Linked DNA regions of Oryza sativa Japonica Group. The protein of the gene in region 1 binds, or shares a complex with, the protein of each later gene. Links are inferred from orthologs where the notes say so. Each region holds a gene or a part of one and is shown in the gene's direction. Other genes may lie near its edges.

Region 1 (3,398 bases):
ACATAAAAAAAACTCAGTGATCTGTTTATGCATAATAGAATTGTTCCTCACACCAAGAGATGATTGTTTGTGCTTAAAATGCAGCTATGGAAATGGAACCATGTTCTCTTCTCGACTAGTTATTCAATTGCTGTGTCCTTTCTCCTACGCAGTGCAATTATCTACTCTGGAATTGTGCAGTTATTTCAGTTATAATGATTCTCTTCCAACATTTAGGAAAGACCAGAAACAGTTCAATTTCATTATTTCAATATTGTTTACTAAGAGATCTGGCAGATCAAAATTTGTTTACTGAAAAAAAAAAGGGGAAGAAACAATCGAAGCATCCTTACTAAATGAATTGGATTATGAATTACGAATCATTGCTCAACTGCATCGTATAATGTAACATTTAACGACTGTAAATGTTTACTGCAAAATGGAATGAGGGGAGGGGGGCATTTGACGGCGCATTACCTCGAACACATGATGTGCATCCAGAGACGAAGCTCCACTCCCAGCAGCGAGATCCCAAAGGCAAATCTTCTTATCATACGAGCCGCTCAGCAGCAACCCCTCCTTCATCGGACTCCACGCCAGCCCATACCCCTCCGCTTCATGCCCCCTGAGCACCACATCGGCGCCGCCCTTCTCGCCGCCGTCGCCAAGATGGTACACGTGCACCTCATCCACGCAGGTCTTGGTAGCCACCGTGTACGGCCTCTGCGGCATGCAGCGGGCGCGGTTGACCTCGCCCTTGTGCGGCACCGAGCGGGAGATGGACACGGACGGGGCCGGGACGGCACCGCCCGCCGCCGCGGCCGCCGCCGCCAGGCGGGGCGGGAGCGGGAGGGCGGCGTCGGCGAGTAGGAGGTGGTTGGGCGTCTCGTCGGAGGTGTGGGTGCCGAGGACGAGGCGGTGGGAGCGGGCGGAGCCCGGCGACCGGGAGTGGGAGGGGAGCCACTGGACGGTGAGCGACGGCCACTCGAGCGGCTGGGAGATGACGAGGTCGTAGAGCACCGGCGCGTTCTTCTTCCAGTTCTGGTGCTCCTCCATCTCCGCCGCCGACGACCTCGCCGCCGTGGAGGACCCGCCGTCCATGGCTCTTCTCTTGCGAATTGCGCGGGAAGTGGAGGCGGCGCTGTGGTGCTCTCCCGCCAAAAAGATTGGGGAGACGATGCGGCGGAGTCAGAAGAGATGGTGTTTTATGGCCGAGTTAATGGGCTTTTATGGGCCGTAAAGCCCATATAATACAATTTGGAGGCCCATTAGCCCATTAAGAGGAAATTTTGTCTAGTAGCTTCTGCCTCGCGTCCGTCTCCTGCATCCGCAGTCGCCGCCGCCGCCGCCGCGATGATGCAGTCGCACCACCCCTCGCCGGCGCGGCTGGGGCTGACGGCCTCGTCGCCGTCGCTCCCGCCCAACCCGGCTGCGGGGAATCCCACCTCCTCGCCGCCGCAGGGCAACCCTAGCGCGGCGGCGGCCGTGGGCGCTGCCGCTGCCGCTGCACCAACCCTAACTACATCGCCGTCGCTGCTGCCGCTCCTGCCGCCGCTCCCGCGGGCGCAGGCGCTCCTCCAGCTGATCTCCGCGCTCGCCTCCAACCTCTTCGAGCTCTCGCCGAGCCGCGCCGCGTGGATCTCGGCGTACCGGGGGTCACTCCCCACTTTCCTCCCCTCGCCGTCCTCCGCGCCGCCGCCGCCGCTCCCGGCCCCGATCTCCTCCACCAAGGAGGCGCTGTCGCTGCTCAACACGCTCCAGACCCAGCTCTTCGAGGCCGTCGCCGAGCTGCAGGAGACCCTCGACCTGCAGGACGCGCGCGCGCGCCTCGCCCGCGAGGCGCGCGCCAAGGACGCCTCGATCCTCGCCTTCGCCAAGAAGCTCCGCGAGGCGCACCACGTGCTCGACCGCCTCGTCGACGACTACGCCGACTACCGCCGCGACCCCAAGCGCCCGCGCGGCGCCGCGGCGGCGGACGACCCCGAGCCGGTGTCAGACGGCGACTTTGGCGCGTCGCTGCACTCCAAGCTCAACCTGGACGACGTCCTGACGTACGCCCACCGCATAAGCTACACGACCTTCGCGCCGCCTGAGCATGGTGCTGGGCTGCCTCTGCGTGGGGCGTTGCCGCCTGCTCCTCAGGAAAATGAGATGAGGATGTCGCAGCTGTATCAATTTGCGGATTTGGATGTTGGAGTGCCGAAATCCCAGGAAGCAAAGGAGAGGACTGCAGCAGAGGGAGATGCCACTCCGCTTTTTCAGCCTTCACCAACCCAGGAGGCAGCTGTGCTACCAATCACTGTGCCGCATCCGCATGGGTGGCGGAACGGGGCGCTGCCTCTCGAAATCCCGTTGCCGCCGCCTGGATGGAAACCCGGGGACCCGATCACTCTACCGCCGGATGGCATTCTGGCTGGTGTCAAGGGTGAGGAGCCACGGGCCAGTGTGCAACAGATGCCGGTTGTGGTGCCAGCAATGGTGCCGAAGGCACAAGAACCGATACAGGTTCGGCATGTTGATCTTGACATTAACAATAGTTCTAGCAGTGATGAGTACAGTAGCGACGTCGGGAGCTCTGAAGAAGATGATGAGGATTAGTTCCTTGGTAAGCTATTTTATGATTCATGTTTCCATGCCGTTGTAGGTCATGTACTAGTAAGAACAAATAATGCAAGCTCTCATACATGATTATTCAAGATCATGCAGCAATATACTGGTATTGAATAGAATTGGGTGGCGTATCATGTATGTGTTGATTAATTAAACCATCTCACTAGTCAATTTGCTTCGATATATGTAATCAAGCATGATGGTCTAATTTCCTCAGGATGTGCTGGTGTTGTATCGTCAGAAACATGGCTTCTTTTATGGATATTTAAACTTGAACATGGTGTGTTTAATGTTTGATGCCCTTCTTCACAGATTACAGGTTTCAGTCATAATTGCTTGCTAGGCTTGCTAGCTGGTTATGGGCTTTTCAATCAAGTAATGACTTCCATGTTCATGCACTCTGCTTAATTTTTCTCATTGTTTTACCTTATGTCTGTACCTCTTATTGCTGCAATATAGTTTGAAAACCTTTATACCATTGTACCAAAGAGTGGTAGCTGAAAACTCAAGAATGTTCTATAACTCAAGCTATATAAGTTATGAGAAGGGAGTGGTTTCAACTTGTAAGTTTGCACTTAAATGAACACACCATTTTTCCTATCTTATTGCACAGCATGGGGGATCTTCCTACTACAAACATGATACTAGTACTATAGGTCTTAGTTTTCATTCACGAGCTTATCTTGCAGATGATAAAGTAGTAATTGACTCAAATGGGTTAGAACTGCCAAAGCATCATCAGAAGTAACTCCTTTTATAATTTTATTGGTGCATATCGCATCTTTATGTACTTTTTTTTCCCAATTCAA
Region 2 (3,500 bases), on another chromosome or scaffold:
TTAATGCCTATCCTTTATGTTCTTAATATATCCTGATTGCTAATTTTGTTTTGTCCATGATTTTTTTCCATCTTGTGTTGTGATTCGGTATCAGCTCTTGCCTTGGATCATCTCGTGGACTTGGAGTGAACTCTAATTTTCTAAGACTAAGGAGACAGAAGAACAGCAATTACAGCAGCATGGCCAGTAGTATCAGTAGTGTTAGTAGCACTTCCAATGGAAGTGAACATGCAGTTGCTGCTGAAGGTGGTGACCTTTCAGCTGATGCAGACTCTATGGCATGCCATCAGTCTGATCTGCCATCCAACATTGCTGGTAGCAAGATGGTACTTTGTTACAATCCTTCTTAATTTACCTCCCCCCAAAAAGTGAACCTTAATTCACACATAGCCTTATAGCCTTTTTATACTTTGCTATTAAAATACTGTTTCTTTTTTAATCACTAGTTAAGCTATTATTAACACAATAATATGTATACTCTTCCATCCTTCTTACGATCTTATTGGTGATTCATCTTTAATGAGGCACAGATGCAAATATAGGGTATGCTTAAATAACATATTTATTTTGGAAACGCATAAGACATGTCAACCATGTGTTGCTACATCCTTCTTATGGTCTACAGAAATGGTGTATGCTATTAGTGATGCCCAAACATTTTTTTGTGCCATCTCCCAATAGGCTTTAATCTAATGTAATATGTTAATTAGAGGACTGACATACTTAATATATTCTTTTCTTTCCTGTAAATGGTATCACTATAATTAACAAATGGTTTGGTATTGTGGATAAATGAAATGAAAATCTGGATAGAAATAGATAAACCAAATGCCAGTAGACCTTTTGTACATGACACGACACATTATGAAGTTCATAGAAGCTTATAGATGTACCTTCTTACGTGTAAAAGTGTTTGTGTCTAATTTGTGAGTAAATACGATCCACTCAGACCTATGTTCACTTAAAACACGGATGTCCATGTATTTGCCCATTGATGCTAAACCTATCAGATCAAATATTTTCTTCCCACATGCAAGCCAAGTGTGGATGAAGACTCTGGTGAATGAATTTTCTGCATCTGGCACCTTTTATATTCTTAACTTTTGTGCAACAATATGAAAATGGTATTACACGATCATGCTATTGTTGTGCCGTGTGCCCGTGTTACATGAACGTAATGGCATTGCTGTAACCTTGATGTTCTGTACCTGTGAAACCAGGTATCCAAGCGGCCTCGTTCTGAAATACCAGAAGTTTCTTCTCGTGCTGGTAAAGAATCCGTGGATAACAATCAAGGGGTAAATGGTCAAGGTAGATGTTCTTGGGGCTGGGATGAGGAGGGGGTTGCGATGGACATCAATTTACTAATATCAGAGTTTGGAGATTTTAGTGACTTCTTTCAAGAAGAGGAGTTAGACTTTGGTGAGGTATGCTGTCATGTCCCATGATCTTTCTGTAGTTTACCAATCAACCAAGGATTTACTCGGACTAATGATAATACTGTGAATCTATGCTACTTTGAGATATTCTGTCAAGTATAGAAGTAGTCAAATTCTGTTAACTAAGATTATATTTTGTAATTCCTACTGTTGCATTTTGTGCTGCTGCGTAACCTTTTTTTTTTTTTTTTTTTACAAAAATGGGCAATTTTCACAAAACCATGCATAACGAAGTATTATAATTTGTTTCAAGGAACCCATGTTTTGGGGCAAAATGTTTTGAGGAACTCAGATTTATATAAAATACTCATTTTCATGATTATATATGGTATTTTTAATATATATTCACATATAAGTAGGCTCAAAATGCACTTCCTCATGTCTAATTTATCTTCATCACTCTCGCACTCAATGATTGCACATACTCAACACAGTCCTCACTGTTGATGACAGATTAACCGGTTACATAAACACAAAATGGTTTATACTTTTGATAATTAACACATGTTGAAAATGCGGATAATACATATATACTTAATTAACAAAATATCACATACTATTTTTTGCAATTATTATGCATAAATCTATTAGCCAAATAGACAATATAAGTTTAAATGTAGTGTTTCTTGAAACATTTTGCCTCCAAACATGGGGTTCCTTGAAACAAATCGCAATATAAGGGGTTTTCCGTTACACATGCTCCCAAACCCGGGATTTTGTGAAATTTACTCAAAAAACCACTACTGCTTGTTTTAAGAGTCTAGATTATAACTGCCTCTACTGCTTGTTTTAAGAGTCTAGATTATAACAGGTGGCTTCATTACTGCCCTTTTAAGTGTATAAATTGCAAAGAACGACCATTTATAGAATTCCTCACAGCTTACATGCCTTGAAACATGTTGCTTGCGATTTCGCCTAAAGCCTGTGGAGGAATTTTCTTCTACTGCACAACCTCATGTTGTTTGCCTTCTAATTTAGACAGTTGTCAAACTATTCATGAACAGAAAATATTAGGAAATTCTGCTCGGCAGATCTAAACAATTTCGAGCACAATAATTGCATTTTCCTTGAACAGAAATAGAACATGATTGTTGCATCCATTGTGGCTCAGAATTGCAATGTTCTAACCTACCTACAATTTATATAGCCTCCAGGTACTGCTGAATCACATTCTCTGGTGATCCCCGGTCCTGACTGTGGGGATGCCACATTCACAGATAGTCCGTCGACAGCTATGGATATACCTGAACAAAGATTTTCTCCAGTTGGTCTCTCATCTTTGGAGGTATTTAACCACCAAACTGTAGCACCTATTCATGATGTTGTTTCTAAGGTTCAAGAGCCTCAGAAAGATATTGCGTCGCCTACAAGCTCCCAATCAGTTGTGTTATCGTCTGGTAGATCTAGTCATCTGACCAGAGCTGAAGCATTGCTCACTTATGCACCCGAGTATGCAGCTATTGAAATTTCCACCGGTGAGACACCAACATCGTTGTTTACAAATCCTTACCAGCCCAGATCCATAAAACCAGGGAGTTCTAGTTTTAACTCAAGAGTTTATTCATATGATGCTGCACAAAGTTCTCAAATGGAGTCTGGAGAAGACAAGCCTGAGAAGTCTGTTAGACTAGCATCTGGTAATCTTTCACGTGATATTGGTTCATCAAACTTATACACAGTTGTCCAAGTTGGGAAAAAAGAAAGTGACAAAGGATTAAAAAACACTGACATACAATCAGGCAAGGAGGAAGCATCAAGACCTATTTCTGGTGAGACTTCACTTGATTCTTCTGTGGTTTCTCAAAGGAAGAGTGACAGCATGTTTAATGCTGGATACTTCCTACTATCTATGAAGACTGCTCTTGCAACTGAAATGGAATGTATCAAGTTCCAGGCTGCCATGTGTAGAATAAGGCATACACTATTGTCTTTGAGTAGCAAAGCATCTGCTGAGCTAAAAAGTGCATTATCCAGTCTTGTGCATACAGATGTCAGCAACAAGTTAGATCTTGTCCCCAAATATGACATAAAAAGGAAAGAAAATATACCAGCTAGGCTATC
Region 3 (2,495 bases), on another chromosome or scaffold:
AAAGCCAGAAGCTAAAGATTATGGTACAAACATCATAAGATAGCTATATGACTATATCACCTCCTTTATTGACATCGAGAAAAATAACTTTAGATAAAGCCACTGCACATAACTAACCAAAGTTCGATGTAGTAATTATGTGGATGATGATGATCTCCGTGCTACTGGATGCATGATCGATAACCCAAGACAGTATGGACTTGCCATCGGTGGGTTGCTCAGGGAGAGCAACATAAACCTTGTCTCTAAACAGAGTTTTCTGCCTGAGCATCATACTCATGCATGCAACTGGTAAGGCCTTGAAGATGGAACTAAGAGATACTTCTATCTACCAGTTTGCGTTTCCCACTTTGGACAACTAAAAGAGGGAACACACTGCGTATTAGCATTAAAGAATAAGATTCCAGTTTAACCAGGTAAAAAGGTTGACTCTTGACTGAGACTATCGGAAGACAACGCAACACTCAACTACCAAGTCGCAGTGAATGGATTATCTGAGGAAAGTCATTTGGTACGCTGTCATGCCATGCCAGTACAACACGGCAAAATTTGCTGGGAACAGGGACATGTTATGAATTAATGTAAGACTCTACCTTTCTCACATCCTTCACCCCCATTGCTCACCACAAATTCCCTGCCTTTCATTTCTAATAAAAAAAAGATGTAGTGCATCGATTGTGTGCCAGTGATAGAGCCATCAGTCTATCTGGTGATCTAATCTAAAGATCTCGGCCTCATATTTCAGTTACTCCATATGAACGGGAGAAACAACCTACGGGTAGTGACGATTCAGCAATAATAGCATATGAAATTTGAGGCGAACAAAATTGACAACAAGCAAACATCTCATCATCACCAGTACTGCATATGAAATTAAATCATCGTGGTACAGTCAAATCACCTTTGACGATTGACTAGAAATGGCGAACACCGAATAAATACATCGCGGCGGCGGCGGAATCGCGCAGGGAGACGGCAACATCGGCGCGCGGCGAGGCGGGAGTTGGGGGAAGCCGTCGCCGGCTCACAGGATCCCACCGGGGTCGCCCGCCTCGCCGTCGGCGAGGGGGAAGCCACCGCCGCTCCGGCGAGCGGCGAGGCCCATATTTATCCCTCGAGAAAAACCCTCGCCTCGCGTCCCAGCCCAAGTTTTAACGTGCGGCCCAGTAAGAAGATACAGCACGAGACGGCCCATTTTAAAGTGGGCCGCGAATCTGCGGCCCACGAGGAATTTTTTTTTTTTTGACGCTACTGGTTTGGGAGTTTGACACTGTGACGAGTAGAGGTCAAGTTGGTGGGGAATCTAGGCGGCGGAGGCGGTGGAGCGTGTCGGGGAGAAGCCGCCGGCGGCGAGGGGAGATGGAGGCGACGGTGGACGAGCTGAGCGAGGCGTACCAGGAGTTCGTGGCGGCGGCGGCGGCGGTGGTGGAGGCGCGGGGGCAGTCGGGGGGAGAGAAGAACGCGGCCACGGACGCGGCGCTCGAGGCGTTCAAGCAGCGGTGGGAGCTCTTCCGCGTCGCCTGCGACCACGCGGAGGAGCTCGTCGAGTCGATCCGCCAGCGAATCGGTTCCGAGTGCCTCGTCGACGAGGCCACCGGCGCCTCCTCCTCCTCCTCCGCGGCGCTGGCCGCCCCCGGCATCAAGCCCATCAGCGCCGTCCGCCTCGAGCAGATGAGCAAGGCCGTCCGCTGGCTCGTCATCGAGCTCCAGCACGGCGCCGGAGGTGCCTCCGCCGCGGGTCCCGGCGGCGGGGGCGGCGCCGCGGCTGCGGCTTCCGGCGTTGCGGGGCAGCACGGCCACGGCGGGGTCGACACGCGCTTCCCCGAGGACGGCGCCCAGTAGGTATTTATTTTGCTCAATTATCTTGTACTAGTAGTATTTTCTTCCAAAGAAAACAAATTACTGGTGGTATCTCTGTGTAATCGTCTAAGAATTGAAGCATTAGAGCTTGTGATCGATATTCTAAAAAAAATTGAGCTTGTGATTTTCTCAGCATTGTTACTTTATGCCTACTGATGTTAAAATTTGGGAGAAATTAACCGTTTTCTTAGTGTCGTGGCCAGATCACGCTTAGTAACTGATTTAATTTTGTCCTATTGCTTTTGTTAAGTGACTAATTGTGTAACGGACTTCCTTCCAGTAGGTTTTAGTTCTGATTTGTAGCTCGCTCACATAATGTTCGTGCATCGTACTAAGGTAAGGTAGTAAACCTGAGGTCCCAGGAAAAAATGAACAATTTCATATATACTACTCAACTAGCATATAACTGTATAAGTTCCTTCAACTTTCAAGTACCTACTCTGGATGTTTTGCTAATCTTGCGTCCGCCACAATGTGAATGCTTTTCCTTCTGATTTTTTAATGAACAACATTTTATTGAAGAATAACTAAGCAGCCACAAAAGGCACAATTTGTGATAATAAACTCTGGGAGATTGCTCATGGTTTGTGAAACCCAGTTATACTGGAAAGTGATATTGGTTATTAGCTACTAGT
Region 4 (4,059 bases), on another chromosome or scaffold:
AAGCGATTTGAGGATTTCTTTTTTGGGATTCTGGTGTCACAATATAGCTACAAGGAGATATATGCGACGTGTTGTGACGCGGAGGGAGCTGAGAGCGAAAGTGTTGCCTACGTGGCATGCCACGTTGGCGGTCAAACACAGCCAAAGGACGTTTGGACCAAGGTGATACATTAAGGCTGTGTTTAGTTCAGCGCAAAGTTTGGATTTTGGTTGAAATTGGAGATGATGTGACTGAAAAGTTGTGTGTGTATAACAAGTTGATGTGATGGAAAAGGACTGAAGTTTGGATCTAAACTTTGGATCTAAACACAGCCTAAACCAAGTTCACGGACCTAAACGTGTAATTTTCAAGTTCATGAACCTAAGTAACAGCACAACACAAGTTTAGAGACCGGCCATATATTTTACTTAAAAAAAGTAACAAATAGTACCATGATCTTAGCTCCTACTGTTAGCATTGTCCTCAATTTTATGGAAAGCAACAAAACTTGAGATTTAAGATATAAGGAGTTAAATGATATGATTTCAGTGTTCACAAGCAAGAATACTCTACTATAATTTATTGTTGTTTGTAGTACATACAACGCTATGTCTGGGTTGGATTAAAACCTTATAAGGGGTAGTATGAAATTGGCCTATGCAATAGTAGAAGGAGATAACATGGGACCAAAATATTGATGTTTGGGGTTTGCTCAAAACATGAGTTTATGTTGGAGCTAATTGACAAAAAATAGAACATGTCATAAAATGAACTCTAATCATGTAATGTTTGTCATAAATTTAGTACTTCCCATTACAACTTATACGACTTCACTACTTATAATAAAATTATATTAACTATATGTAACTACATTAAAAAACCATGCTATCATAGCATCAGAAGTGTTTCTTCCAAGAAAATTCATTTTTCCCATCCCCAGTTACATGAATATTGGAGCGAATCTAACGGTTAAAAAATCAAAAAATTTCCTCGTGAAATATATAAATTAATCTACTTCATTCGTCTCAATATAAAGCAACATAACATGAAATGGAACGTATCCTATTACTATGAAGTAATTCCGGATACTAAACAAGGCTTGTTGTCTATTTCGCTCGTATCCCATGGTTTACAGGACAACACAAATTGCTCGGTTTTCTTTGGTAAGTTTTTATTGAAAAAAAATATTCAAAGCGAACCTTTTCTTTTTTTCTTTAACAAACTTTGAGCCGATTTTACCGGTTTTCGTGAAAACGGGGAAAAACCACCTCCCCCTCCCGTCCTCATCTCGCGGTCTCCCTCTCTCCAACACTCAAATTCTCCGGCGCCGCCCTACTAACTCCGACGGCCCATCTCCGCCGCCTCCGCCGCCGGCGTGAAGCCATCTCCGCCTCCTGTGAAGCCCCCCAACTCCCGCGAGCTCCTCCACGCAGCAGATCCGGCGAGCTCGGATGGACGCGGCGGCGCTAGGGGCGGCCGCCGGGGCGCCGAACCCGGCGGCGCCCGTAGGAGGGGACCAGCAGCCACGGACGGAGCGGCTCAGCGCCGGGGTGCAGCAGCAGCTGAACCTGGAGGGGATGCGGGCGCGCGCCGTGGGCCTGTACAAGGCCATCTCCCGCATCCTCGAGGACTTCGACGCCATCGCCCGCGCCAACCCCAACGCCTCCCCCAAGTGGTAGTACTTGCCTCACCTCCATTCCCCCATCCCCCGATCGCCCGCTGGACTCTGTAGAGGATTCAGCTTCCCCTTTCTAGGGTTTATGCAATGCTGATTCGTGCCGTGGTGCGTGTATGGCAGGCAGGATGTGCTTGGGCAATTCTCGATGGTGAGCATGGAGCTCTTCAATATCGTGGAGGACATCAAGAAGGTGTCCAAGGTGTTTGTGGTCTACCCCCGAAACGTTAATGCCGAAAACGCTGCCAGTATGCTTGCTGTTCCACTTCTCTTCTCTTGTGTCACCAATCGATCGCTATATCAGTAATAACCACACTAGTTAGGTAGATCCACAAGCATAAAGTTTGTGGGAAGAAGAATACATGAACATAATGTAGAATGGAATTGCTCTGCGTAGTTCAAACCTTCACAAAATATTGCCTTGGGCAGCTGTTACACGCTACCCAGCTAAGCAGACCACTTTTGATTCCATGACCTTACCAAACAGAGTCTTCTCATGTTCAATGGTGCCCAAAGCCAGATGAGAAGACAGGTCACCTGTTATGAGAACCAAGAAATATACTATGTGATTTCTGTTATGAGCAACAAGGATATATGAGATATTATGGTTATGCTGCATTTGGTAATGAGTAGTTCATATATATACATGTCATTTCTTTTACGAGTTGTTTTACACATGAAGAACCAATTGTTGACCTTTCTCACTTCCTAGCAATAGTTATTCCTTTGGTTTAAATATTGAGATTAAACTTCAGGCTGATATGGCTAATTGGCTTTAGTTAAACGAATTTTATCCTAGGGTAAATTGGTAAAGATATTCCTAATGTAGCATGGGTAGCCATTTTTGTCAACACTTTCCTATTTCTGGGATAAGTGTGATAGGAATCTAAAAATGACCTAACAAGATGCTAATTGGTCACGGTTGCTGTATATGGTTGGGATGCATCGCAATTTGTGTTCCCATGTTCATCTGCTTCTAGTTTTACCACATCGTTAGTCCTGTTTGATATTCGTGAGTACTGCAGTACTGCCTGTAATGCTGTCGTCAAAGCTGTTACCTGAGATGGAAGCTGAAGAAGCTACAAAGAGGGACAACTTGTTGTCTGGAATAACGAATCTAACAGTTTCTGGACAAATTGAAAAGTTAAAGGTGATTATTTCTGTCTGGAAAATGCAAACCTATGTAGCTTATTATACCTGCGTGATCTTTTCATTATCTGTTAATTTTAATGGGACTTGCTGCTATTCCTTTCAGACTAGGATAGATATGATTGGAAGTGCATGTGAAACAGCTGAGAAAGTAATTGCTGAAAGTCGCAAGAATTATGGTCTAGGAGCCCGTCAGGGGGCAAATCTTGGTCCTACATTGGACAAGGCACAGGCTGCAAAGATACAGGAGCAGGAAGGCCTACTTAGAGCAGCGGTAAATTATGGTGAAGGTGATAAGCATTAATGGTGTATTAATATAGCTATCAGTTTAAAAATTACTTTGAATTTAATTTTAGCATAAGCTTCTCCTTTTATGTAACAATTTCATTGTTTATAGTCCATGATGATTTAGTCTGATTATCCAGGATTGCGTGTACCGGGAGACCAAAGGCAGATGTATTCATCTCTTCCTAGCCATTTAGTGGACGTACTTCCTTTTGGAGATGGGGCACATAATTTTGGTGATAATTCTGGTCTGTTTCTGTGACATACCTACAATTCTCCATGGTTCACTCCTTGTTTTGAGCATTGGAACTATAGCATCAATGAGTTGTTCATCTGCTCTAGATGTTTTTTTATATAAAAATAATCAATAACTTGCTGCTACCCTTAGTGTTGCCATTTGTGCAGTCTGTATGTCACACAATGCTTCAACAAAAGCATATAACTAGAGTCTATACTTGCAGGTGTGTACCCCAAAAATACCTCAACATTTGTACCTAATGTTGTCAACGCCCAGGGAAATCCAATGCAGGTTTGTCTAGTGCCAGTAATAACAGCTTTGACCATTACGAAATTAATAGAATATGTCCATATTATTGCTAGTTGGGCTGAAAGCAAAAAAAGTTACAAAAGGCAGATGTTTTGTTTCCCGTGTATCAATTTGCCATATAATTTGTAATGGTATATTGGTATTCCTTTCTATGATCAACTGTATTAAGTGTTGGTTAGAATGCTTTCCCTTGAACTATTATTAAGACAATTGCATTTCATAAGAGCAATCACCAACCTGACCTCATGCAGGCCTTTGATGTTTCTATCTTGATGTTCAAATTTGGGCCTTCATTCTAATAGCAGGTGTCTGGAGGACAGTTACTTGGCAGACCTGCTCCATCACCTGGAGCTACAGGAACGCCTAATTTTGAAAATGTATCTACTCCTCCAATGCCATATGCAAACTCCCCTAGGTCAGGGA
Region 5 (4,203 bases), on another chromosome or scaffold:
GTTTGGCTCGTGTTTGGGCCCATCGCCTGACCTTCCCTTCTTTTGGGTTGGGTTTCTTTGGATTTATTTTTAAGATGGGCTTGTTGTTTTATCGACTTATTTGTTGCGAATAAAATCTTACCGTGCCGTATCATCAATTTCATAGGTCATGACTCTGCTGCATCTATTGGAAAAAAAACATATTTATATTGTATAAACAAAGAAAACATGCGTAGTTAGGATGGGCTATCGACGATCACGACAACAATGATAATAACCTAAATAGAGAGCTAGAGATTCTTATAAAGATTCTTATAAGACGCTTGTGATTAGTCGGCTGATGATAATCTGAAAGGGTTAAGTTTCAAGTTTCTAGCTCCAAGTTCATAATCTCAATTTTTATGTACATATATGTGCTAGCACACTACAATTTCTATATGTACATAAAAATCGAGACAATGATGTAATGAAAGTTGTGGCCTAGAGAGATATCATTTAAAGTAAAATGATGGAATAATACAATTTAATTAAAGATTCGATACATAAACAATTGATGAAATTTGTAACCGAGGGAGATAAATTTTAACTGAAATTGTCAAACTATAAATCTGACGAAAGATTCATTCAAATTCCCAAAAAGGCATACATTCACTCATTTTATCTGCCTTGGTGCCAAATTTAACGAAATTTATGTACCCAGTTTCAAATAAATAGACGACTATCCCCATTTTCTTACAAGTTACAATCCACCGCAAGACCACAACACCAAGATTACCCGCCTCCATGCCAATTTCAATGAAATTCGTGTATCCAATTTTAAATAGACAGACAACACTCTTTATTTCGTTACAAGTTAGTACATCTAGGTACTATACAAGAGTAATATTGGAGTGTGTAAAAAACTGCCGTAGATTTTTTAAGTGTAAAACTTCGAGATTAAATTATATTATAATTGAAGTATAGTTGTACTGTAACTGTATTGTAACTACGGTATAACTTATATAAAACATGTATTTAACCGTGGTTTGGCTGACTAGCACCGAGATCTTGCACATAACATGTATGATATTTTTGTAGCAATGTTATCTCTTGAATGTACAAATCTCCAGTAACCCGATGACCATAAATCTGAAAGTTTTGAGAGAAAAAGGGTGTGTTTAGTTCACGCTAAAATTAGAAGTTTGGTTGAAATTGAAACGATGTGACAGAAAAGTTAGAAGTTTGTATGTGTAGGAAAGTTTTGATGCGATGGAAAGTTAAAAATTTTTTTAAAAAAGTTTGGAACTAAACTCCACGGAACTTGCAAAAGTTTTCTAGCAATTTCGATCCAAAATTCAACGGAATTCGTACATACCCAGAGCTCACCACTCCCGAAACGCCACCAAAAGACCAAACCCACTCGTTTCCCCTCCCCCCCTCCCTCTGACTCTCTCCCCGTCGTCGTCATCGTCATCGTCGTTCGTCGTCGTCGTCTCCCCTTTCCACGGCCGCATCCCATTCCCCACCCAACCTGAAAGCGACGCCGCCGCAGCGCACACGCAGGAGGCAGCAGCAAAGCGAGGAGGGGAGGAAACCCTCCCCCCGCGACAGCAACGGGCGGTCGCTTCCAGTGACCTAAGCCTCCCCCTCCCCCCCTCGCGCGCGCTTCCCTCCCCTTCGCCTTTTTGTCTCCTCCGCCCCTTATGACCTCTTCCTCCGCCCCAAACCCTAGCCCCCTCGTCCCCACCCCCACCCCCTCTCCCCCCACCGCCAACGCCGCCGCCGCCGCCGCCGGAGCCGTGCCCGTCTCCTCGCCGACGCCGCCGCCCAAGGATCAGCAGCAGGAGGGCCAGGGGGGTGGAGGAGGAGTGGGGGATGGGGGTGGAGTGGAGGAGGTGGGCGTAGGGGGAGGCGAGGCCATGGAGGTGGATGGTGGCGCGGGAGGTGGTGGTGGGGGGGTTGGGGATGTGGAGGGGGGTGGGGGTGGTGGTGGTGCGGGGGGAGGAGGAGGTGGAGGTGGAGGTGGGCAGCAGGCGTCGCCGGCGACCGTGTTCCGGATCCGGCTCAAGCAGCCGCCCTCGAGCCTCCGCCACAAGATGCGCGTGCCCGAGCTCTGCAGGAACTTCAGGTGCGTTTCGAGATTAGTTGTGGTTTTTTTGGGGGTGTTTTTTCTTTCTGGGATTTAAATATGTTGGGGGAAGCTTAGGTGTGATGAATTTAAACCCTGATCTGTTTCAGCTTATTCATCGATTTATTGAAATGGTTTTTTTCCCCCCGAAAGAAATTTTCCTCTACTGTATTGCTTAGACCACTTGTTTTAAGCTATTTGTTAAGTTTGTCTCTCAAAATATCTAATTTATCCCTATAATATATCCATGACAATAATCCACTCAATAATCTAAATCAAACGATCTGGGTTTACTTTTTTTTTCCTCTTCAAATTTGGGTGGCGTTTCAATGATTGGGATGAACAATCTAGTGACTCAAACTTGCAGAAGCATTAGCGTGGGCATGGAATTGTGATTGCTTTGAATGATTGTATCCTGTGCAGGCTTCTACTATACTAGATCAAATACAGTTATAACATGTAGTGTCATTATTTCACATAACTAAGTTTAGTCAGGTCAAACTGGTTACTTTGTTCACCAGTTAGAAAATACCGAACGTGATAACTCCATTTTTAAAATCCACATTATTTTTTTTTGTTTAAAACTGCTTTGATCTTGTAGGATGAGGTTGCCTTGTCTGCTTTAGCCTACACTATATCGGGAACAACTAGTAACTATCTTATCTATGGTTTTTTTTTTATTGCAGTGCAGTTGCTTGGTGCGGGAAGCTCAATGCAATTGCATGCGCATCAGAGACTTGTGCACGCATACCAAGGTATACATTTTTCCATCCTTTCCCTGAAAATTTACTTTCCTCTGACCTTTAGTTATCCATAAATAAGTTTGTTCTGTTAGCTTGTCTTAGTGGGATATTCAACCATTTGGTAGAATTGTTTGCTTACAGTTTCTGGTTATGAAGGTTTCTTTGCCGTAAAACGATCTAATGTATATTTTCAGCTCTAATTCAAGCCCACCATTTTGGATTCCCATACACATTCTAAATCCAGAGAGACCAACAGAATGTTCTGTTTTCAATGTGAAAGCAGGTAATCCATGGCTAAATCTCAATTGTTTTGGTAATGTGATTACGTTATGCATGTGCAAATCACTGTCCATTGGGCATTTTATAGTCAGGTGAAGGGTGAGATTCAAACTCACTTTTGTTTATATACGAGTTTTTCTACCTCCAATCCTAACTCACTGTAATTTTGAACAGATTCTCCACGCGACTTTGTTCAATTCATTGAATGGTCTCCTCGATCATGCCCTCGTGCATTACTGGTGGCAAATTTTCATGGAAGGATTACTATATGGACACAGCCAACTAAGGTACATCTCTACCTTAAGCAAATTTCGGTATGCATATCATTTTTTTTTGTTAGTAGTACCATTGAACTTACTTTGTTAATTTGCGAAACACTCAGGATTTTCTTTTTTCATTTCAAGTCTATATACATATCATGCTGTTTTGTGTTTTTTCTCTAATACTTGTTTCTTTCTTGATATGGTGAAGGGTCCTACTAATCTTGTACGTGATGCCAGTTCCTGGCAATGTGAACACGAATGGCGTCAAGATCTTTCGGTGGTGACTAAGTGGTTGTCAGGAATTTCTCCGGTTTGTTGCCAATTTGCAAACTTACAGTCTGCTTCTCTTGTTTTTGATAATTAGCACTTTACACTTGGAATGCAAATATGCAATACGATTGACCCAGCAGTTTATACAGTCCGCTTCACAATTTAACATTCGAGATTTATATACTTTTCAGTGTCAATTGTTAATCATTATTTTTTTAAAATATAATATTTTATAAAGCAGTGACAATAGACTTGAGTTTAAACTGTTCTAAGATTTTTTCACTGGACATTTATCATAAACAATTGCAACAATTAGGTAAAAAAGATTCTGGCTCAGTTTATGTCTGAGTAAGTACTTTGATCTATTTCAAATGACACTACCTGTGTTTGATTACCCTTTTGGCCTGAAATAAGTGGATCTTAGAATCGAAGGAATATAATTACTAAGCTGTTGCCACGGCTAAATTTGTTTTGTTTCTTTGACTTTGCAGTATAGATGGCTTCCTGCAAACTCTAGTACTTCATCAAACTTGAAAACCTTTGAGGAAAAGTTCCTTACCCA
Region 6 (4,299 bases), on another chromosome or scaffold:
TTAGCAACCGCTAAATAATTCATCCTAAACATGCGGAATATATCAATAGTAAACAACCTACTCTAGTATCACTTACTGTGACCGCATCTGACAAAGGTTCTCTTCAGAGGACTAGAGGAGTTTATATCAACTGCAGCTTGATCTAAATTCATAGTTAAATTTTAATAATATATAGTTGTAGAATATAGAAAATAAATAAGAAATTAAATAGAAGTACAGGAAAACTACATTTTACATGTTTTCATGAGGTACTGCTAGTAGCTACTCAACGGTTGCTTAGGCTTGATTCGTTTATCTGGGTTGGGAACCTTTCATCGAACACGCTAAATGGAGTGGTAGATTTACACATGATTAATTAAGTATTAGCTAAAAGTATACACATGGAAAATGATAGGGTATAAGTTGGAAAAGCTTGCTGTGTTCTTTGTTCAGAGTTCCCAACCCCTCTACCTCGTGTTCCGTGCGCACGCTTTTCAAACTTCTAAACGGTGTATTTTTTAAAAAAAGTTTCTATATAAAAGTTACTTAAAAAATAAATTAATCTATTTTTGAAAAAAAGCTAATACTTAATTAATCACGCGCTAATGGACTGCTCTGTTTTCTGTGCGTACTGTTCCGGTTGGGAATCAGAGATACCGAACACATCCTAAAAGAACACGACTTTGATATTCCTTAGGGGAATGCTAGGAATCGGTCGCTCAGGGGAGGGAGAAAAATCGGGCGCTCCCTCCTCCCACGACGCGCACTGCCCTGGGCCCCACCACGTCTCTACCCCCACCTGCCACTTATCTCTATCACATACTCCATTGCAACAAATCACCTATATATTTTGGAAACACTCTATTAAGGGAATACATTTCATTTTTTTCCACGAAGAATGTTTTACCTTTTATACCCACAATATTCCACTGTGTATAGATCTAATGTCGCAGTGAACTGAAACATTCTTTCACTATTTGCTGAAACATTATTTTTATATAAGGTGAAACAACGCCCGACTTAAACTATTGAAACATTTTCGATCTCTTAGTGAAAAAATTCCGATATACTTGGTAGAATATCGTGCAACATTTTAAAATAATTCAATAATAAGCTAAATTTTTTTTCATCGGAATATATCTATGTGTGTGATCTTGTTTTGAAGATTTAATTGCAACGAATTTAATGGTGAAATCATGATTTGGATAAATAATTTAAGAGAAAAATTAGTTTAAAGTAGTTTTGCACGCATGCGTCATACTGATGTCAGCGTCCGATTTTTCTCCAAACCCATCGGTCGCCCGACGCGTAGGCTCCTCTTATTCCTTGAATTAGAATAGGTATGGCTACACGCCTACACGCACACAAGATAGATGAGGTGGGTGAGGCGGAGCAGAGGATCCGGCGGGCTGGGACCACCTCGTGTTGGTGCCTGGTGGTGATGCAGTGGGCGAAGTGGTTACACCAACGCGCACCACCACCACCATCTCTCTCTCTCTCTCTCTCTCTTCCTCCTTCCCACCAAACAAACATCCCACGCTTCGTCCCTCCCACTCCACTCCCCACCCCCGCGACGCCTGCGGCGACGACGACGGCGACGGCGAGGAAGGCTGGCCACGGCACGCGGCGGCGAGTAGTCCAGCATGGCGGCGCCCTCGGCGGCGGCGGCGTGGGTGGACTGGGCCGCGGAGTACACCAAGGCGGCCCAGGCGGAGTCGCGCCCGCCCGCGGAGTGGGCCGCGCGGGTGGCCTCCGTCGTCGCCGCCGCCGGGGACGCGCCGTGGTCGCCCGGGCTCGCCGAGATGCTCGCCCGCGCGCTGCTGTATGGCGGTGGCGGCGCGGCGTGGAAGTACGCCGAGGCAGCGCTCGCCGCGGGCCTCGCGTCGCCGGCGCTGCTCCTCGCGATCCTCTCCACCAGGTACGGACGGCGCGGCGCCCCCGCTCCCATCCATTGCCCTCCCCCCACGCGCGCGCAGTGGCGTTTGTGCGCGCGCGCGGGGAGAGACGAATTTGCGTGCGTGGTATCTGACATGGGCTCCTGCTCACGTGGGGTGTACTGTCTGATGGAATCCGCGCAATCGCGATCGGATCAGGCTACTAGTTTCGATCTATGAGATTTCCCTCGCAACCAGATTACCACAAATGCAAGTTGTTCTACAGCGTGGCCTGTACATGATCATAAACAATCTGATGTTTTGGGCCCTGTAAATTTGAGAAGGAAAAGGGATGGTGGCGTGCTTACTGTGCGTAATACCCATAAATTTGAGAAGTATATGAATGGCAGTGTATGTAGAGTACTCGAGTGTGCAGTGTAATGCAGATCAATTTAATACATGTATAGCAGCAGAATACTCTGTTTCATTTTTTTCACTTTTTTTCTTCTCTCTAGAGTCTAGATCATGCTAGTTGGAATAACAAGTGCAGTTTGAAATGTGCTTTTCAGCAGTAATCGTATAACCAACTGGCGAAATCCGTGCACATTTTCAATATCTGCTATGCTGCTGTGGAATGTTCTATAAAATAGAATATAAGACTGATTGCAAATATTCCGTTGATGGTTTCTCTCCATTCAGGGTCATTCCTCACCGGTTCACAAGGCCAACTGCATATAGACTTTATCTGGAGCTCTTGCGGAGACATGGATTCAATTTTGCTTTTCAGATGAAAGCGGCGAATTTCAAAAAGTGAGGTTTCCTTCTATGAGGTGTTCCCAGTAGTTTCATAATGCACGCATTCTATGTTCAGAGGTTTCGAAATATACATCACAGGAACATGTACATCATTCTGAACGATTCAGTACTGTTCAAAAGAATTATATAAGACGGGAATTTTAATACGATATGCTGACAATTAGAGTTTTGGGTGTCTACCACAATACATCTAGACCACCTTATTGCATCTGCATACTGGACATATCAAGATCTGTTCCAAAGAGCAACAATTTGCAAAGGAAGAATTTCACCTGGTTGAAAGGGCCAGTTCTGCAGTGATACATAATATTTTCGGTTGAATTGGTTAAGGTGTCACTTTATATGTTTTCAACTCGCATATAGTTCTTTCATGTTAGTTTTTAAAGAGTTTGTTTCTTGTGACATGTCTGTTCTGTTAGCATCCTATGTTTATGCCTTGTGTAGGTATCTGTCATTCTGTCTGCAACTTATCATTCCTTTAGTTGTCTTCTAAATGCAAAGTTTCATGACACCTTCTCATATTTCCGCAGGATCATGCAATTAATAGATGATAACCTTGGTCTCTCAAAGATATTTGGCTTTTCAACATGCGAACCAGGGGTTTTTGTTGTTGAATTTACCCTTTGCATGTTATGGCAGTTGGTTGATGCTGCATTAGATGACGAAGGCCTGTTAGAGTTGATACCGGATAAGAAAGCTCATTGGCCAACTAGATCAGATGATGTGAGTGCATTTGATGGAACTTTCTCTGAACAAAGAATAGACAAAATTGACAAGTTACAGAAGATGAATAATGTGATAACTATAGAGCTCATTGGGCATCTTCTTCATGACAAAGTAATTACTCATATCCTCTCATTGGCACGCGAAAACATGTATGGCTTTTCAACTTCATGTACTGCTTTACTGAGTTATTCCAGCTCTTTCTTCCTATCACTAAAAACAGTGAATTTATCCCTTTGTTATTATATCAATTGATAGCAACTTAATTTTATTTTAGTGAGTTAATGTATGGCTTAAATATCTCTGTGTTCCATATGCACCATATAATTGAAAACATTCTCTCTATTGGCTTAAGGTTCTCAAGTCAAGCTTCTGTGTCTTCTGAGTATACAGGGTATTGCCAATATTTTTCTGGAATATATCAGATTCATTGTATTTATGGAATGGCTGTACACTTTTATAAAACAACTGTCGACCGCAATGCTAAAATGTGAACTAATAGTACTCTAGAAGGACTACTGGTTGTATGAACAAGCAAGCTTGATTGGTTGCAACTGTAATGTTCAAATGATTTTCTCTACTACTTTATAACCAAGAAGGATCACTGATAGAATCATAGAAACTCTGGCCATGGGGGACAAGCTCTGATATACTCATGCCAATATTGTCTGATATTGCTGTTTGTGTTCATAACTGTACTAGAATCGTACACAAATGAACTATTGGGATAACAGTACATTGGTAGAAGGCATTCGTTTAAACTTCCAAAGTGGGGATCAAGGGCATCCTTAAGACACCACAACTGAATTCACTTACTGTTTTTATTTTTTATTTTTTTGAAAAAGTATGCTACTTTAATTTGTTATTATTACCACCAGTACTAACGAGTCTTGATGATTCAGGCAAT
Region 7 (4,231 bases), on another chromosome or scaffold:
GCTATATGTGAAGTTATCAGCAGCAATACCTTCATATATTTCAACAGCCTTCTTGGTGTGACCAACCTTACATAGACCATTTATTACTGAATTGTATGTTACGATTCCAATCTTTATCCCCTTTTTATCCATCTCTTCAAGCAAAGAGAAAGCCCTATCCAAATATCCCTTTTTGCACAAATTGTCAATCAAAATTGAGTAAACATATTCATCCACCACCACTCCTGTCTGTTCCAGTTTCCTCACTATAGAAAAAGCATCATCCAACCTGTTTCTCTTGCAGAAACCACCAATCAATGATGTATAAGTGATCAAATTCGGCTTAGCATCCCTTCGGTTCATCTCATCCAAGAATCCCATCACTTTTTCCACACTACGTTCTCTGCAAAGTCCATCAATAACAGTAGTATAACTAACTACATCAGCTGCAATGCCCTTATCTAACATCACCCGATGCTCACGGAGCCCTTTCATCAATAACCCGCTACTCATGTATCCATGAACCAAGCTGCCATATAAAACAGCATCACCAACCAACCCCTTCCCTTCCATCTCCCTTACCAATTGTGCTGCCTCAGTAGTTCTCCCTACACGGCCAAGCACATCGACAAAAGCGGTTAATGTGATCAAGCCTGGCTCAAATCCATTGAACTCTCTCCTCACCCTCCTATAGAATTCCAGCCCATCCCCAGCCTTCCCGACCTTGGAGAAGCCTGAAATGATCACGCTGCAAACACGATCATCCACCTGACACCCCGCTGCAGCCATTACGTCGAACACCTTGAGCGCGGTCTCCATGTCACCGCGGGCACACAGCATCGTCAGGGCCACACGATACGTGGACGGAGAAAACACGAGCCCGCACTCCTCTACGCCGGCGGAGAGCACCTCCAGCGCGCGGCGAGCATCGCCGCGCACCGCGCAGGCCCGGCGGAGCAGCGCGTCCCAGAGGCGGCGCGCGGAGGAGGTTGCCGGGCCGGCGAGCGCGAGGCGCGCTGCCGCGTCGCGCGGACGGGAAGAATCTAGAAGCGCCGAGGCGACCAGGAGGTGGGTGCGCGCGGTGGGGCGCACGGAGTTGGCGACCGCCTGCGAGGCGAGCGCGCCGACGAGGCGGTGCCTCCGCCGGCGGAGGAGCGCCGCCAGTAGGATGTCCACGCGGCGCGGCGTGACGGCCCTTCCGAGCTTGACCAGCGACGGGAGCGGCGGTGGTGGTCGGGGCTCGCCGCCGGCGAGCGGCATGGCGGAGGGTGGTGGTGGTGGCGCCGCCGCCGCGTGGGAAGCGAAGCGCAAACGTTCGAAACGTTGGAAGCCGATGGCGTGGGCCGAATTTGGATACGAGCTTGTTTGGATCTGGGCCTGAATAGATATGGGCTTGTATTGGTTCTGGGCCTGTTTGGATATGGGCTTATTTAGGTGAGGCGTTTCGAGTCGGAAGCGAGAAGGGGAGAAGAGGAAGATGCAGCAAGCGCAGGCGTCGGCGGTGGTGGCCGCGCCGGTGGCGGCGGCGGCGGCGGCGGCGGCGGGGGCGACGGGGCACCAGCACGAGGGGGCGAGGGGTGACGCGCCGCCGAAGCAGGTGGCGCAGGCGATGGAGCGGCTGGGGCGGGCGGGGCGGCTCATCGCGGACATCCGGCTGGGCGCGGACCGTCTGCTCGAGGCGCTCTTCGTCGCCGGCGACGCGCCCCCGCACAGCGCCCCGCAGCACGTTGAGAAGACCGCGCTCGCCGTCGCCCAGGAGGAGGCCGCCATGCACCGCCACTTCGACGACCTCCGCGCGCTCGGGAGGTAAACCCATCTCCGCCCCGTGCCCCCACACTCTCCGATTCAGAAGTTTTTCATCGATTCCTTAACCTTTGACTGTTACGTCGCAAAATACAACTAATTCCCTCCGAGAAGAACCATTCCCGTCATGATTCCACGGTTGCAGTCTCAAAATGAAAAAGGAACATTCCCGTCATGATACCACGGTTGCAGTCTCAAAATGAAAAAGAAATATTCCCGTCATGATACCACGGTTGCAGTCTCAAGAAGAAAAAGGAAAACCCTTGTCTAGATAATTTCTGGAAATTGGTGGCTGGGATATTGATTTAACTTCTTTGGATTGTATGATTGGACTTTTTTTAAAGTAATAATCTCCTTCCCAGTTTAGGCATGGCAGCACATTTTTTTTCCACTAAATTGTTCTGTAATAATGGTTAATCACCATAAACTGATGCCACACTCTTCTTTGGTGTTATCCAATTGCTTGTATCTTGTGAAACCCTTCTACCTATGAAACCTTGCTACGAGAGATGCACGGACAGGCTTAACTGCTCAACTTTGGTATATGAACTTTAGCATTCTAGAATATTGGCTGGGTGCCTGGGTCTATCAGATTGGGATGCATTTCTGGAACTCGTGTTCCTTGGCTTGTAATAGAGCAATATTTAACCTTAATTGAACAGCTTCAGCTTGAACTTGTTTTGGGGCTGTTTGGATCAGGGACTAAAATTTTAGTCCCGGTCACATCAGATGTTTAACACTAATTAGAAGTATTAAACGTAGATTAATGAAAAAATCCATTTCATAACCTTGAATTAATTCGCGAGACAAATCTATTGAGCCTAATTAATCCATGATTAGCCTATGTGATGCTACAGTACACATGTGCTAATTATGGATTAATTAGGTTTAAAAAAATTGTCTCGCGAATTAGCTCTCATTTATGCAATTAATTTTATTATTAGTCTACGTTAAATACTTCTAATTAGTATCCAAACATGCGATGTGACAGGGACTAAAATTTAGTCCCTGGATCCAAACACCACCTTAGTGCCACTCAGGGCTCGAACTAGTTTTAGTATCACTCGTGGATGGTAAGGATGTAGGGTAGGTGCTCACTCTATAATATTGTCTCAGCAGAGCAGTTATGTGTTGGGTACAATTGTTTACATGTGACCACTTGACCAGTCGTTTGTTGAAGAAGTCTGCAGGCATTTGGAAAATCCATGTTTCATGGCAACATGGTACTATTCTGTCTGATGAATAAAATGTCCAAGCAATATGAACTGCTTGTTAAACGATGGTTTTTGAGTCTTTCTGCAACCTGAAGTTGCTAGATAAACGGAAGATGAAATTTGCAGGTGATATAGTTATGATTTTAGACAGAATAGTTAGTTTGTGAAAATCCTGAAGTTAGGAGTACTAGATAAGCTTAAGCCATGTGACTGAGATTTTTTTAAGTCAAAGGATATTAGGAGCCATCTTCAATAAAGTTAGGTATGTGAACAGGATGGATTCACTCGATTTTGCTGGTGCTTTCTTATTGTTCTTTCACAGTATTCTTGTTATAGTGTTTGGGTTAGTTGTGCTTGTTGCTATTCATGATGTTTTTACTTTGTGATGAACCATCAATCATTGCTTACACAGTTCTCCTGGTAAGTTCCAATTATTTTTATTGAACTTCAAGTTTCAAGTTCCACTATTTCTTCATAAGTGTTGGCCTAGCCAACTGAAAGTAAAGATCTAGTTTTTAAACTGTAGCCTAATAAATATCTTGTATCCATTGCTGTTAGGAAGGCAATTGGAAGAGTCTGGAGTTCTAAATGGAGCCCTTAAAGCCAGAGGCAATTCATGGGGCTTGCACATGCCACTTGTTTGTCCAGATGGTGCAGTTGTGGCATATGCTTGGAAGCGTCAGCTGGCTGGTCAGGCTGGTGCATCAGCTGTTGACAGAACTAGGTAATTTCATTACCATCATTGTTGTGTTGTATGTTTGCTGCCACAATATGATGTGCTTATTTGTCTTATTTATATTCTGTTGATGTGTGAGATTTCATCAACCGTGCATTGCAGAATGCAGATTAAATATTTATACCATGTTATTTCTTCCTGCGATATACGATAATTTTCTTGGCCGATAAATTTGTACTGTTGTTTCCCTCTTTCCCCTTTAAATTTGTACTGTTGTTTCCCTCTTTCCCCTTTTTCCCTTATTTCTCCTTTTTCCCTCTTTTGTTTCTTCTTTTGCACTTTGCTTTCTCTAATCCTTCTACTATGATAATTACATTCTTCCAAGGTGTGGAGTGCTTTTGTAGGAATTGAAGTATTAGATCAGTTCTTGTTTTCGTTGCATCCATATTTTATTTTGATTTTACACAGAATGCATCGGAAATATTCCAACGCCCTTCATTCATGTGCTTCTTTAGATGTATGTACTTATGTTGAAGGCTTCAAGCCTTCGGATCATCCC

What was found.
Region 2: mediator of RNA polymerase II transcription subunit 4 (region 1) and mediator of RNA polymerase II transcription subunit 13 share a complex: the UniProt entries of both Arabidopsis thaliana proteins name them as parts of the mediator complex. The link is inferred for Oryza sativa Japonica Group from reciprocal best matches to the Arabidopsis thaliana genes AT5G02850 and GCT.
Region 3: mediator of RNA polymerase II transcription subunit 4 (region 1) and mediator of RNA polymerase II transcription subunit 32 share a complex: the UniProt entries of both Arabidopsis thaliana proteins name them as parts of the mediator complex. The link is inferred for Oryza sativa Japonica Group from reciprocal best matches to the Arabidopsis thaliana genes AT5G02850 and MED32.
Region 4: mediator of RNA polymerase II transcription subunit 4 (region 1) and mediator of RNA polymerase II transcription subunit 8 share a complex: the UniProt entries of both Arabidopsis thaliana proteins name them as parts of the mediator complex. The link is inferred for Oryza sativa Japonica Group from reciprocal best matches to the Arabidopsis thaliana genes AT5G02850 and MED8.
Region 5: mediator of RNA polymerase II transcription subunit 4 (region 1) and mediator of RNA polymerase II transcription subunit 16 share a complex: the UniProt entries of both Arabidopsis thaliana proteins name them as parts of the mediator complex. The link is inferred for Oryza sativa Japonica Group from reciprocal best matches to the Arabidopsis thaliana genes AT5G02850 and SFR6.
Region 6: mediator of RNA polymerase II transcription subunit 4 (region 1) and mediator of RNA polymerase II transcription subunit 33A share a complex: the UniProt entries of both Arabidopsis thaliana proteins name them as parts of the mediator complex. The link is inferred for Oryza sativa Japonica Group from reciprocal best matches to the Arabidopsis thaliana genes AT5G02850 and RFR1.
Region 7: mediator of RNA polymerase II transcription subunit 4 (region 1) and mediator of RNA polymerase II transcription subunit 27 share a complex: the UniProt entries of both Arabidopsis thaliana proteins name them as parts of the mediator complex. The link is inferred for Oryza sativa Japonica Group from reciprocal best matches to the Arabidopsis thaliana genes AT5G02850 and AT3G09180.

The regions. Positions count from the first base shown.
Region 1 is NC_089043.1:25,716,283-25,719,680, reverse strand, and holds mediator of RNA polymerase II transcription subunit 4, read left to right. Parts: upstream 1-1,257; 5' UTR 1,258-1,332; coding exon 1,333-2,577; 3' UTR 2,578-2,898; downstream 2,899-3,398. Other genes in the region: histone-binding protein MSI1 homolog, read right to left, coding at 457-1,080. UniProt on the Arabidopsis thaliana protein: Component of the Mediator complex, a coactivator involved in the regulated transcription of nearly all RNA polymerase II-dependent genes.
Region 2 is NC_089039.1:22,060,902-22,064,401, reverse strand, and holds part of mediator of RNA polymerase II transcription subunit 13, read left to right. Parts: intron 1-94; coding exon 95-326; intron 327-1,220; coding exon 1,221-1,427; intron 1,428-2,586; coding exon 2,587-3,500. UniProt on the Arabidopsis thaliana protein: Component of the Mediator complex, a coactivator involved in the regulated transcription of nearly all RNA polymerase II-dependent genes.
Region 3 is NC_089044.1:22,150,995-22,153,489, forward strand, and holds mediator of RNA polymerase II transcription subunit 32, read left to right. Parts: upstream 1-1,269; 5' UTR 1,270-1,359; coding exon 1,360-1,842; 3' UTR 1,843-1,995; downstream 1,996-2,495. Other genes in the region: U-box domain-containing protein 70-like, read right to left, coding at 118-280. UniProt on the Arabidopsis thaliana protein: Component of the Mediator complex, a coactivator involved in the regulated transcription of nearly all RNA polymerase II-dependent genes.
Region 4 is NC_089037.1:18,123,815-18,127,873, forward strand, and holds the start of mediator of RNA polymerase II transcription subunit 8, read left to right. Parts: upstream 1-1,259; 5' UTR 1,260-1,431; coding exon 1,432-1,655; intron 1,656-1,778; coding exon 1,779-1,903; intron 1,904-2,680; coding exon 2,681-2,805; intron 2,806-2,910; coding exon 2,911-3,094; intron 3,095-3,229; coding exon 3,230-3,337; intron 3,338-3,550; coding exon 3,551-3,618; intron 3,619-3,938; coding exon 3,939-4,059. UniProt on the Arabidopsis thaliana protein: Component of the Mediator complex, a coactivator involved in the regulated transcription of nearly all RNA polymerase II-dependent genes.
Region 5 is NC_089044.1:19,707,083-19,711,285, forward strand, and holds the start of mediator of RNA polymerase II transcription subunit 16, read left to right. Parts: upstream 1-1,403; 5' UTR 1,404-1,661; coding exon 1,662-2,086; intron 2,087-2,772; coding exon 2,773-2,841; intron 2,842-3,023; coding exon 3,024-3,112; intron 3,113-3,282; coding exon 3,283-3,395; intron 3,396-3,579; coding exon 3,580-3,681; intron 3,682-4,132; coding exon 4,133-4,203. UniProt on the Arabidopsis thaliana protein: Component of the Mediator complex, a coactivator involved in the regulated transcription of nearly all RNA polymerase II-dependent genes.
Region 6 is NC_089041.1:6,111,050-6,115,348, forward strand, and holds the start of mediator of RNA polymerase II transcription subunit 33A, read left to right. Parts: upstream 1-1,499; 5' UTR 1,500-1,622; coding exon 1,623-1,897; intron 1,898-2,552; coding exon 2,553-2,663; intron 2,664-3,199; coding exon 3,200-3,544; intron 3,545-4,294; coding exon 4,295-4,299. UniProt on the Arabidopsis thaliana protein: Component of the Mediator complex, a coactivator involved in the regulated transcription of nearly all RNA polymerase II-dependent genes.
Region 7 is NC_089035.1:8,936,521-8,940,751, forward strand, and holds the start of mediator of RNA polymerase II transcription subunit 27, read left to right. Parts: upstream 1-1,431; 5' UTR 1,432-1,456; coding exon 1,457-1,785; intron 1,786-3,558; coding exon 3,559-3,720; intron 3,721-4,231. Other genes in the region: pentatricopeptide repeat-containing protein At5g57250, mitochondrial, read right to left, coding at 1-1,239. UniProt on the Arabidopsis thaliana protein: Component of the Mediator complex, a coactivator involved in the regulated transcription of nearly all RNA polymerase II-dependent genes.